3 linked regions of the Elephas maximus indicus genome follow. Each later gene encodes a partner of the first gene's protein in a complex. Links are inferred from orthologs where the notes say so. Each region holds a gene or a part of one and is shown on either strand. Other genes may lie near its edges.

What was found.
Region 2: EXOSC3 (region 1) and EXOSC7 share a complex: the UniProt entries of both Homo sapiens proteins name them as parts of the RNA exosome core complex. The link is inferred for Elephas maximus indicus from reciprocal best matches to the Homo sapiens genes EXOSC3 and EXOSC7.
Region 3: EXOSC3 (region 1) and EXOSC1 share a complex: the UniProt entries of both Homo sapiens proteins name them as parts of the RNA exosome core complex. The link is inferred for Elephas maximus indicus from reciprocal best matches to the Homo sapiens genes EXOSC3 and EXOSC1.

The regions. Positions count from the first base shown.
Region 1 is NC_064827.1:46,654,337-46,658,084, reverse strand, and holds the start of EXOSC3 (exosome complex component RRP40), read left to right. Parts: upstream 1-923; 5' UTR 924-987; coding exon 988-1,308; intron 1,309-2,047; coding exon 2,048-2,197; intron 2,198-3,748. UniProt on the Homo sapiens protein: Non-catalytic component of the RNA exosome complex which has 3'->5' exoribonuclease activity and participates in a multitude of cellular RNA processing and degradation events.
Region 2 is NC_064838.1:49,288,420-49,292,167, forward strand, and holds the start of EXOSC7 (exosome complex component RRP42), read left to right. Parts: upstream 1-1,506; 5' UTR 1,507-1,528; coding exon 1,529-1,585; intron 1,586-3,748. UniProt on the Homo sapiens protein: Non-catalytic component of the RNA exosome complex which has 3'->5' exoribonuclease activity and participates in a multitude of cellular RNA processing and degradation events.
Region 3 is NC_064834.1:49,202,348-49,206,095, reverse strand, and holds the start of EXOSC1 (exosome complex component CSL4), read left to right. Parts: upstream 1-1,032; 5' UTR 1,033-1,086; coding exon 1,087-1,117; intron 1,118-1,219; coding exon 1,220-1,335; intron 1,336-3,652; coding exon 3,653-3,727; intron 3,728-3,748. UniProt on the Homo sapiens protein: Non-catalytic component of the RNA exosome complex which has 3'->5' exoribonuclease activity and participates in a multitude of cellular RNA processing and degradation events.

The sequences.
Region 1 (3,748 bases):
TTTCAAATAATACCCCTGAGTCATAAGGGCAGGAAGCCTTGAAGTACTATGAATTTGCAATTCAGCTGCTTCTTACATGGGCAACCAAAGTGTTGGTTCAGGGTAAGTAAAACCTACCTACTGCCATCGAGTCGATTCCGACTCATAGCGACCCTGTAAGACAGAGTAGAACTGCCCCACAAAGTATCCAAGGAGCACCTGGCGGATGTGAACTGCCCCAGGGTAAGTAGCAGCAGGGATTCAACTGTAGTTAACTGATTTTCCCACGTCATGTAGGTGTAGCTCAATTATGTGAAACTGTGCATGTGATGTGTATATTTGCAGAAAAATAAGTCTAGCGAGAATACACACCAAAATGTTAACATTCATTCATCCAACACGTGTTACCTATTTCACGCCAGACCCTGGGCTACAAAGAGTCAGAACTAGGGCTGACGGTCTAGCTTGAGACAAACGGGTAAAACCAAGAAGTTATGTTTATTAATTCTGTGTTTTCCACAATGCGAATAAACGCCTTCTTGGCAACAACCAAAAAGGTTTTAGTTTGGAAAGAAAATACCTCTCCTGGTAAAAGGTCAGCCACCGTTCTGAGGGCAGGCTCGAGGCGAAGGGACTATGAGTCCACCCGACCCCCAACTCTGGAAGCCCCTCTGTTCAACTCCCAGGATTCCATACAAGGGAGTATCTTGTATCTCACGGTGCGACCGGCCACAAGACACGCGGCCCGAGACACCCGGAAGTCCAGGCTCCGCGGTCTACTCAAGCTGAGCGTTTCTCATAACACCCGGAAGATAGACAACTGACCAGGAGGAACCACAACCACCTTGGGGGTATCCGCCGGCTCACGGCGATTTGGCTTCACAGACGTAGGAACCACTCCCACTGACCCGTAGCGCCGGAAACGGAAAGTGCTGAGCGGGCTGGCGATTGGGCGCAGAGCCGGAAGTGGAAGCACGGTGCCGGAATTGGTGTTTGGTGGCGCCTGGTATGGGTGAAGCTGCGGCTATTGCGTCCGAATCCCTCGCGGGCAGTAAGGCCCGGGCGGCGCGCACAGTGTTAGGTCAGGTGGTGCTCCCGGGTGAGGAGCTGCTGCTGCCGGAGCAGGAGGACGCAGAAGGCCCTGGCGGTGCTGGGGAACGACTGCTGCGCCTCAACCCCGGGGCGCGTTCGCGGGTGCGCGTAGTGTGCGGCCCGGGCTTGCGGCGCTCTGGGGACCGTCTGCTGGTCACCAAGTGCGGCCGCCTACGTCACAAGGAGCCCGGCGGCGGCGGCGGCGGCGTTTACTGGGTGGACTCACAGCAGAAGCGGGTGAGCTGGGGCTCCGGAGTGATATCCCTATCCAGCGAGAGTGGTATCCCTATCCTGGGGAACTTCCTGGAAGAGAAAAAGGAGGGGACCCTGAAACACCGTCTGTCATTTTGAGATTGTGCCCACCTTCCCATCTCCTTTGAGGGACCGTGAGCAACAGGAACGTGGCCAAAGAAGGGCGATCAGGGGAGAAAGGCGTGTGGAAACCTTAGCATATAAGGGAGATAAGGACTGTGACATATGGCCATTGTCTTCAAAACCCCAAAGGTCAGGGAGCGACACACTTGTTCTTTGAGGCCCCAGAGGACAGAATCAGGCTTGATGAGTGGATATCATCAGGAGTTAAATTTCTCTCAGAATAAGTGAGAACTTTCTCGTAGGCAGAATTGTCGAACAATGGATTGGGCTTCTTTGGTAGTAAGGAACCCTGTGCCACTGGATGTAAGTGCAAGCAGAAGCCGGAGACTTTCTGGTAAGGGTGCTGAAGATGGTATTCAGGTATGGCATACTGGCACCAATTAACAGACTTTTAGAAGCTGCAAGCTTGAGAGAATATGATGTGACTGGTTTTCATTTACTGAAAGTGGTATGTGATAAAGTTTGTTGTAAAGTTTCTATAAATAACTTGAATTGCAAAATATTTTCTAAACATTTTAATGATAATCATAACAAAGTAAACACTAAGGACTTGCTGGAAAAAATTTAATTTGTGGCTGTTCTTTCATGTTTTCTTTTGTAGTATGTCCCAGTGAAAGGAGACCATGTGATTGGCATAGTGACAGCTAAATCTGGAGATATATTCAAAGTTGACGTTGGAGGGAGTGAGCCAGCTTCTTTATCTTACTTGGCATTTGAAGGTGCAACTAAAAGAAACAGACCAAACGTGCAGGTAATGATGGGGGCCTTTGGTTTCAAAAGTATAAAAAAAATAAACCCATTATCTAGAATACAAAAATATCCAGAAGGCTACTGAACTGTTGCCAAAGCGTGACCACTTTTCCTAGTTTTATAGGATGATCTCTCAGGCTTCCAAGAGTTCCTTCAGGTGCTTCAGCTCTTGAACTAGACTACATATGTGTTTTATGTTTGCAACATTTGTTCTTGGAATGTTACATCTCTACTGCATTGAAAGGTTTTATCTGTTATCTCCAGTATCACGGGCATTGACCAAGGTAGTCAGCAATAGGCTCAGAGAGGGAGAATGGACAAGTGGCACAAATTGCCGTATCAGCCATCCATCCATCCTGGTTGTAGGCCCTGGGACAGGCATCTCACGGTGTAGCCATACTGCCCTCTGTCCATCCAAACCAGAAGTTGAGTGGTTTCTTTGCCCCTTCTAACTCCTCGCATGTTCTCAGTTGCTTTATTGTTTCTCTGATCTTCATGTCTACCCCCTTTATCTCAACTTTGCGAGTTCAGGCCTTGCTACCCTTAACTGGCCTTGGTCAGTGACCTCATTAACATCCCTGCCTCCACACTCTCATCCTTCCATCTAGGCTTTTCAGAGCTGACATCCTTACATACTCCCTTTCTCAAAACATGAATGTTCTTCAAAGCCTAAAGAATTCCTTGGCATGACACCCCAGGGGTCTTGCCTCATCCATAATTATATCTTGCATACAGCCATGCTTGAGCCACACCAGAGTATTTGATAGCACCACTAAACCCATAATTTCCTGCCCTTGTACCTTTGCTGATGCTGTGCCCTCTGTCCCTTGTACCTCCGCTCAGGCTTTATCTGTGGGACATGCTCATTCTTCAAAACCCAGCCAAACACCAGATACCTCTGTAAAGCCATCTCCAATCTTGAATCACTTTAACTTTGTTCTAGCACTTACTGGATTCCGGTTTGAATGAAGTTTTTGTTCATATGTACATCCTAACTGCCCCCAAAGACCAAATGTTTCTGAAGGGTAGCAAATGTTTTGTTCATCTGTAGTTCTCAGAGTCAGTGTTTTGTTGAGCAAACAGAACAAGTTCACTGTCTTTCCTCAGTATTATCATTTTGAAGTTCCACTGCATGAGATTTTTAAGTAAACCTTACATGGAGAAATATCAGTGGCTTATCGTTGCTCCAGCTATTTTGCTTGAGCATGCCAGGAATTCCTTCCTCTAGCCATAAACCTTCTGGAATCCTAATAGAACTTTCTGTGATGATGCTAATGTTCTGTACCTTCACTGACAGCCACTGGCCACATGTAGTTATCAAGGACTGAAATGTGGCTAATGCAACTGAGGAACTGAATTATATTTTAATTAACTAAATTTATTAAATTTAAATGTAAGTCTAAATAGGCACATGTAGCTAGCGGCTAACATAAGGAACAGTGGAATCCCAGAGTATGTTGTCTGGCCTTGGCATTGCTCCCGTTTGGGGATTTCCTGGTGTTTTAAAGGGTGAAGGTACATGTGTTAATACTGTCTTCTTTTAAGACTCAAT
Region 2 (3,748 bases), on another chromosome or scaffold:
CTAGTCTAAGAAAAAGTGATCATCTATTTTGGGGCTCAGCAGTTAAGTGCTTAAGAATGCGGGCAGACACTTCCTCTCCGTACCCTTCTCTGACTCACCTCCTGGTTCTCAGTCCCACTGCACCCATTGGTGCTACCATCATAGCTCTAACCACAACGTTCTGTGGTTCCCTCGACCCTCCAGCCTCCCCCTCTGCACAGGGAGCTTCTCTGGGCAGAAGTTGCATTTTACTTGTCTTAGTGTTCCAAAGCTAGAACAAAGCCCATCTGTAGTAGGCTCCCAATAGTTATCTGTGAAATTGTACCGAAGCCAATATCTGAGAAAATCAACCATTCTTTGGATAATCAAGCTGTTAAGGTTTACTTTGGTTTCTGACAACAGAGAAGGAGGTTCCTCAAAAACGGGACACGAGGAAGTCATCAGACCCATTCCTTGTTTCAACCACTTTGAATCAACTTTCCTCCATTTATCCGCATGGCCCCTTTAAAACTTGTACCGTACCGAGTCTGCCCCGCCTTAATGGGCTCCTGTGGTGACCCCAGCTTCACCTTGCAGGTATCCTGTCTGGATATCCAAGGCCCAGAATTCGACTCGGCCACCGCGCGGGGCTGGCTTTTTTACCGGCAGCTGCCATAGCTCCCACGATCACCCCCATCAAGCCGGGACTTCCAGTCCCCTATGGGAAGCGCTGGGGGCGCCCCGGCACTGCGCCCGCGCCAGCGCCGGTTGCCAAGATCCTCCTTACTTTTTTCGGGACAATGCTCCGGCGATCATCCGGGGAAGTGGGCCCTGCAAGGTCCTGGCCCCCCGACCCGTTCGATTCGTCCTCGGAGAGAGGAGGGGGGAGTTTGAGGGACCGGGGGAAGGCGGCGACGATGCCTCGAGATTAGTGACCCCACTCCCCGCCCGGACCCTTCCCACGGAGACCGAGCCGAAGAGAGCTTCATTGCTTCTACTTTTCAACCATTCTAGGAACCAGGGAAAGGGAGGGGCGGGAAGAGTGGGGAGATAGCCCCCCGGGCCAATCACGACGTCCGGCTCCTTTCGGGGTCTGTCAGTTTCCTCTCTCTTACACACACATGACCTGCTACTTCAACTCCAGCTGTGAGCAAACTGCGCCTCGTGCCTCTCCTACTACGAGTCCCCCAGCCCTGGCCCGCGCGCCTATCCTAACCCCAGTTTCTTCACCCCAACCCGAGTTCCCCCTTCTAACTGACCGTGAAGCCGGTGGCAGTTCCCCAGTCCCAGGCCGCCGGGGAGACTCTTGCCGCCGCCGCCGTGGCCACAATTTGCACTCCCCGACACGGGTCCCGGCCTTGGGCTGCGGCGATGGCTCCCCGGCTCCCTGGACTCGGCCAGACACCCGGCGGCGCGCAGGAGAAGCCCATCGAGCTCCCGGCGGCGGCGGCAGCAGCGGCTGCAGGAGCGGCCGCCGCGCTGGCTGATGACGTTCGGGTGCAGGGGGCGCGGCCGCCTGGGGGAGGGGGCGCGGGCGGATGACGTACGGCGAGCAGGGCGACTCTGCAGCATGGCGTCCGTGGCGCTGAGCGAGGCGGAGAAGGTGTACATCGTGCATGGCGTCCAGGTAGTTGCAGCAGCAGGTCGGCCGTAGAGTTACGCTGGCCCTGCGAGCTGCGGCTGGCCCTCGGTTTCCCGGCTGGGGAGGCCCCAGGTTGCCGCGAGTCTGGATTTACCTTGTGATTAAATGGCTCGGATTCTGCATCCCGAAGCCGGCAACGCGGCCGTTTTTAGGACTGGGTGGCGAGCATCCATTTAGGTCTCTTCTCGTACTTGCAGCTTTTCGGGCCTACAAGGTTCTGAACCTGGGTAGGAAGGGGTGGGCGCTCCCAGAGGCCTTTCTTGAGGTCTTTCCTGGGGGAAATACCGCCCCCGGACCATCTCTTCACCCTTTGCGTGACGCTTCGCTTGGCCTAGTCTCAGTTTTTTCTTCTAGGAAATGGGGGGAGGTGTGTTTCTGGCTCTCTTTTTCTCAGCTGGCGGTTTGGTGGCTCAGAGAGAGCACACACCCGCTTTGAAGATATATATTGCCTTACAGATGAAGGAGGGATGTTATGATTTAAAAGGCGGCTTTGCAGCCAGTAGCGTAATTCTTTCTGTTTCCCATTTTGCCATTGGAGAACTAAGATCCCTAAAAACAGCTAGAACCCATTGTCTTTGCTCAGACTTCAACCCCTAGTTTGGACCACTCCAGAAGTAGAGCTGGAGGATGTTGGGCCTGCTAGGAGCTACCCAGCTTCCTTCTCTGGCTCTTGTTATCCTTCCTTCACTCTTGTTATGCCACTGCGCGGCTCTCCCATCCCAGTTCTCCAGCCCACCTATGGCAGAGTTCTGAGGGCAGCTACTGCACCCTCCCTCATGCCCTTTCTCAGCCAAGGCAAACTGCAGTCAGTGGTCCCGTGATGTAGGTAATAGATTAGGCAGCCAGCTATCATTAAAACTCCACAACTGAGTTAAGGCCGTGTCCTTTTTAAAATTGTGGCCTGCTTTTTTTTTTTTATTGTGTGTGCCTGTTACAGAGGAAGTAAACATCAATATTTAGCTGACAGTTTGCTTGTTTGTTGTGTAACAACTCAGCGACACCTGAACCCAAGGTGGGCCACATCTCCAAGAGACTGAAGAAAGACTCCAGAACCAGTCATCGTGACATATGGTTTATTGGGACACTTACTTACAGGACCGTGGCCCAGGGCGGCAGCTGGACTAGTTTAGTGCTCCACAATCACCTAGCATAGGACACGAGCTTATATACCATTCCAGCTGGGTCCAAGGCTCATGGTTTTTCTCCCACGTCCTTGGGCAGTTACCGTTCCCAGGGACTTCACGTCCAGGCCCAGATGTTTTTCTTCTTGTTGCTAAGGCTTTCCTCAGCCTTGGTCACTGGCCTAGTCACACCACTCCTGTCCTTGTACCTCAGCCCAAGTCCATCCTGAATTCATCCCCATCATGCTTTGGGGGAGAGCAAAGCTGACTCCATTAGGACGGTATGCATATAGCTGAATAGGATTACCCTACAATATTAAACCTGAATAATAGAGTCAGAACGTAAAGGTTCATGAACTTTTTAAGATCTACTTCAGGGTCAGCAATAAGGAAATATATGTGTGTGTGTGTGTTACTGAGTGGCGTATGTATGTTATTTGTGTTTGGGAGGTATAAAACCGTTCACAAAGCAATTAGATTTGTCCTTCCCTGTCTTATTTTTGTGCCAACTTCGTTCAGATGATTTTCCTCCTCAAAGGAATGCTTAGGGGAGGCATTAAGGATTATGTTTTATTTCTAAATCTAAAAGCCTTTAGGTTTTTTCCTTTGCTACCACAGCCAGGAAATATTGGTTACACTTTACAGCCAATTCTCTCTCACATTCCATCTCTGACAGTGGCACCAAGGGACATAGGATAGGAAAATAAGTGAGTCCTCCTTGTCTGTAACCTCCCTAGGTTAGAGATGTCTTACAAACATCCTTAGTTCCCATGGCAACTCACTGTCCAACTGCCTATCAGAGACCCACTGAGGCTATAAGCTTTTCTTCCTTATTACTTTAAAATCAGTCAGCACGTCATTTATATTTATTACACACCTGTTATATGTTGGGTGCTGTGGGGAGGGAAAAAAAAAGCTACAGTCTGGCCCCTGAGATACTTAGGATATAGTTCGGGCAACGTTAGTTGGTTTTATTCACCATTTTATACCCAGCCCCCATTGTATTATGTGGGAAACAGTAGGAGTG
Region 3 (3,748 bases), on another chromosome or scaffold:
TAGGGAAGCTGGAAATGGGGGTGGGGAGTAGACAGAGAGGGATAGATTCCAAAGCCACCAGCAGGCAGAGGAAACAGATTAAAAGTCGTGGCAAATCTCATCTGAACAAAGATGCTGCTCTCAGGATATCTGCAATCTCAAGCAGCAGAACTCGGGCGGGCATCAGTAAAGGGCAGCATTTTATTCATTTGCATGACTTCGCTTCCGGACTAACGTGCTGGGAAGAAAACAGAGTGGCAATATCAGAAGCTAAGGATGGGCCCACACGACCAGAGCTCCGCTTGAGAGAATCCGACTGCAGAATCCGAAGCTGCAGTTAGAGAAATCGGGAAGAGGTTTTATTTCTCAAGGAGGACGGCGTGGTCAAAGTGCGATGGGCTGAAAGTTAAAAAAAAAAAAAAAAAAAAAACTCCTGTGTGGACTCTACCTTGAACTATCTCCGAGACTTTGAACAAGTAAAATCCTGTCTCTGGATCTGAATTTCCAAATCCATGAAATGAGCGAGTTGGGTTGCTTGGCCTTCCTGCTCCGCTCGTTACCGCTGCCCGGAGGGTGCGCTTGGCCGAGCCAGCGAAGGGCACGGCCCTGCAGGGCGGAGCAAAGAGAGCAGGAACCCGGGGACTCCACAGGGCTCCAGGAAAGGGCCCCACCTCAGAAAAAGGGACCAGGATGGCGAGCAAGAGCCGCGGCTTTGCTCTTACCTGCCGGCTCTCCGATTAGCTAAATCCAGCCCCGCAGGCTCCGCCGCCCTTCACTGCCAGCCCCTCCAGCTCGGCGCCCAGACTCAATCCGACCCAGCGTGGCCCGCCGGCCGCAACACCAGCGGGGGGACCCGGACCCACAGCCAGCCCATCCTCGACCACAGACAGGCGCAAGCGCAACAGCAGGAGCCCTGGAGCTCCGCCCCGGGACCTGTCTCGGGACAACCTGGGATATGAAGTTTGTCCCTCGAGGAGGGGGTGGGACTCCCGTAGATCACGTGATAACACACACCAATTGGCGCGTTTGTTACTGACGAGCTGTGCCTGGATTTGGCCAATAAGAAGTCGGCCTCGTTTTCATCCGGGCTCTGGGACAGTGGCTGTCATGGCGCCCCCCGTGAGGTACTGCGTCCCGGGTAAGTGAGCTGTCTGCCGAGTTTTGGATTGGGACAGAGGCCGGAGGCTGGACGGCCAACAGCTCCTGGGGGTCTGTGGCTGACGCGGCGCTTCTTCTGCAGGCGAACGTCTGTGTAACTTGGAGGAGGGCAGCCCGGGCAGCGGCACCTACACCCGGCACGGCTACATCTTCTCGTCGCTTGCCGGCTGCCTGACGAAGAGCAGCGAGAACGGCGCGGTAAAGGCGACGGCCTTCCGTCCCCTCGGTCTCTTTCTCTTAGGCTTCCTTTGATTTCGCGGTTCTTAGGCAGGGGCGCTGAGAACGCGTTTTCAGTGCCTCACCAATAGAAAAACTAGGTCTCTGAATTTTTTCCAGCTGTAATCTTCGTTGCTGTGCGCCTGGCCACCCTCGACCAGCTGTGGTGATCTGGCTTTGTTGTGCTGCTAACACTCGGGGTGGGAGGTTGGGGGGAGGAGAGGTGAGCTGACAGTAACCCAGCCCAGGCGTGAGCTGAATGCTGAGTGTCGCCTGGCTTCAACCTTCTTCACTCTCTCCACCCTCGTTCTTTGCGATCTCGTCATATTGGCTTCTTCCAGCGTCGCTAAAGCGTTAAGCTCTCTCCTGCCACAGAGCCTTTATACATGTGCCATCAGTCTGGAACATGCTCCACTCCCTCTTAGCCTAGTTAACACCTATCCTCCTTCCTACCTATTCCCCTCAGCCTAGTTTTTCTTCTCCTACTCTACATACCTATCCTAGTAGTCTCTCAAGTATAATCTCAAAGAAGCCCTCCTGAACCCACTAGTTGGGGAAGAGCGTTTTGTGTCTTCTCGTTTGTCGTTTATTTGTTTTGTTAAACACTCTCAGCTGTATTCCTTTCCTTCCAAGCACTCATTTCAGCTTATAATTAAACAGTCATCTATATATTGCCTACTAGACTCTTAAGTTCCAGGAAAGCAGGCCTCACCATCATTCCCTCAGCACCTAGCACAAGGTAGATGTTCAATAAATGTTTGTTGAATGAATAAGTAGTACTATCCACACTGACCCAAGGCGTGGTGTTTTCATTCGCCTCAAATGCATGTGAAAGCTGCACAGTGAATAAGGAAGACCAAAGAAGAATTGACGCCTTCAAATTATGGTGTTGATGAAGAATATTGAATATACCGTGGACTGCAAGAAAAATGAACAAGTCTGTCTTGGACGAAGTACAACCAGAATACTCCTTGGAAGCACGGATGGCGATACTTTGTCTCACGTGCTTTGGACATGTTATCAGGCAGGATCAGTCCCTGAAGAAGGATATCATGCTTGGTAAAATAGAGGGTCAGTGAAAAAGAGGAGGACCTTGAATGAAATTTGATGGCGCAGGACTGGGCAGTGTTTCCTTCTGTTGTACATAGGGTTGCTGTGAATTGGAACCAACCTGATGGCACCTAACAACAACATCCTCCCTAGTTCCAGAGGCTGATCCAGGATTAGCTCAGGATCAGCTGAGCAATCTTTGAAGGAGCAGCTTAAGACAAGTAGCATAGTAGAAAAAGGATTCAGAATTATAACATGTAGGTACTGACTCAGTAGACCTTGATTCTGCCTCAGTTAAAAGATTTAAACTCTCTGGCATTAGATTCTTCCTCATCTGTGAAATGAGGAGCTTTTTATTCAACCAGTTGTGAAAATATCCTTAACATTCCTTAGTTTGTTCACAGAGGTCTGTTGAGCATTTTCACATGCCAGGCCCAGTGCTAACCTCTGAGGGTCTAGTAATAAACCAAATACAGGTAATCTCTGCCATCAAAGGGGCAGAAACATGAATTGTAAACAAATGCCCAAATGAGTATATGGCTGCAAGCGTGTGAGTGCTTTCAAAGAATATTACAGAGTACCATGAGGACCTATAGCAGACAAACCCAGCTTAGTCAACAGAAGTAACATTTAAGCTGAACCTAAAGGGTAAGTGGGAGTTGGGTAGATGGGAGAGGATAGTACTGACAGAACAGAGCTCCTGAGTGAAAGGAAATTTAGTGAGTTGAAGAAAGTGAAAGAAGGCCAGGAAAGCTGAAGCATAGTGAGCAAGGGGGAGATTGTTAAAAAATGAGGGAGCAAGTGCCAATACCATGCTCAAAGAGAAAACTCTGGAATTATTCCCTTAAAAGAGAGCAAGTATGGCCACTATTAAATAACATTGATTTGGAAATTCTAGCCTGTGCAAAAAAGTAAACAGAAAGAAGTAATAAAATTTTGGAGGAGCCAAATCATCAGTGATCATAGGCAATATGGTTGTTTACCTAGACGATCTAAGAGAATCACCAAAAAAACTTATTAGAACTAATTCGAAATTGTTACAGGATGTTTTCTGGCAGCATTCTTCCCATGACCCCTTGGTTCTCCCATCTTGGTCCTCCCATTTCCTATAAATGGGTTATAAATCAATCCATGGTAGACCTGCCCTGGTGACCTTAACTGGGACCGAGGGATTCCTTTAGTATTCCCAAGCCACAAATAACTTTACTTAGAGCTTAGCCAGGATTCCCATTTTTTATTCTCTCTGTAGCTTCCTGTGGTATCTGTGAGGAGAGAGACAGAATCTCAGTTACTGCCAGATGTGGGGGCTGTTGTAACCTGTAAGGTAAGTTGGTCCTAACCTCCC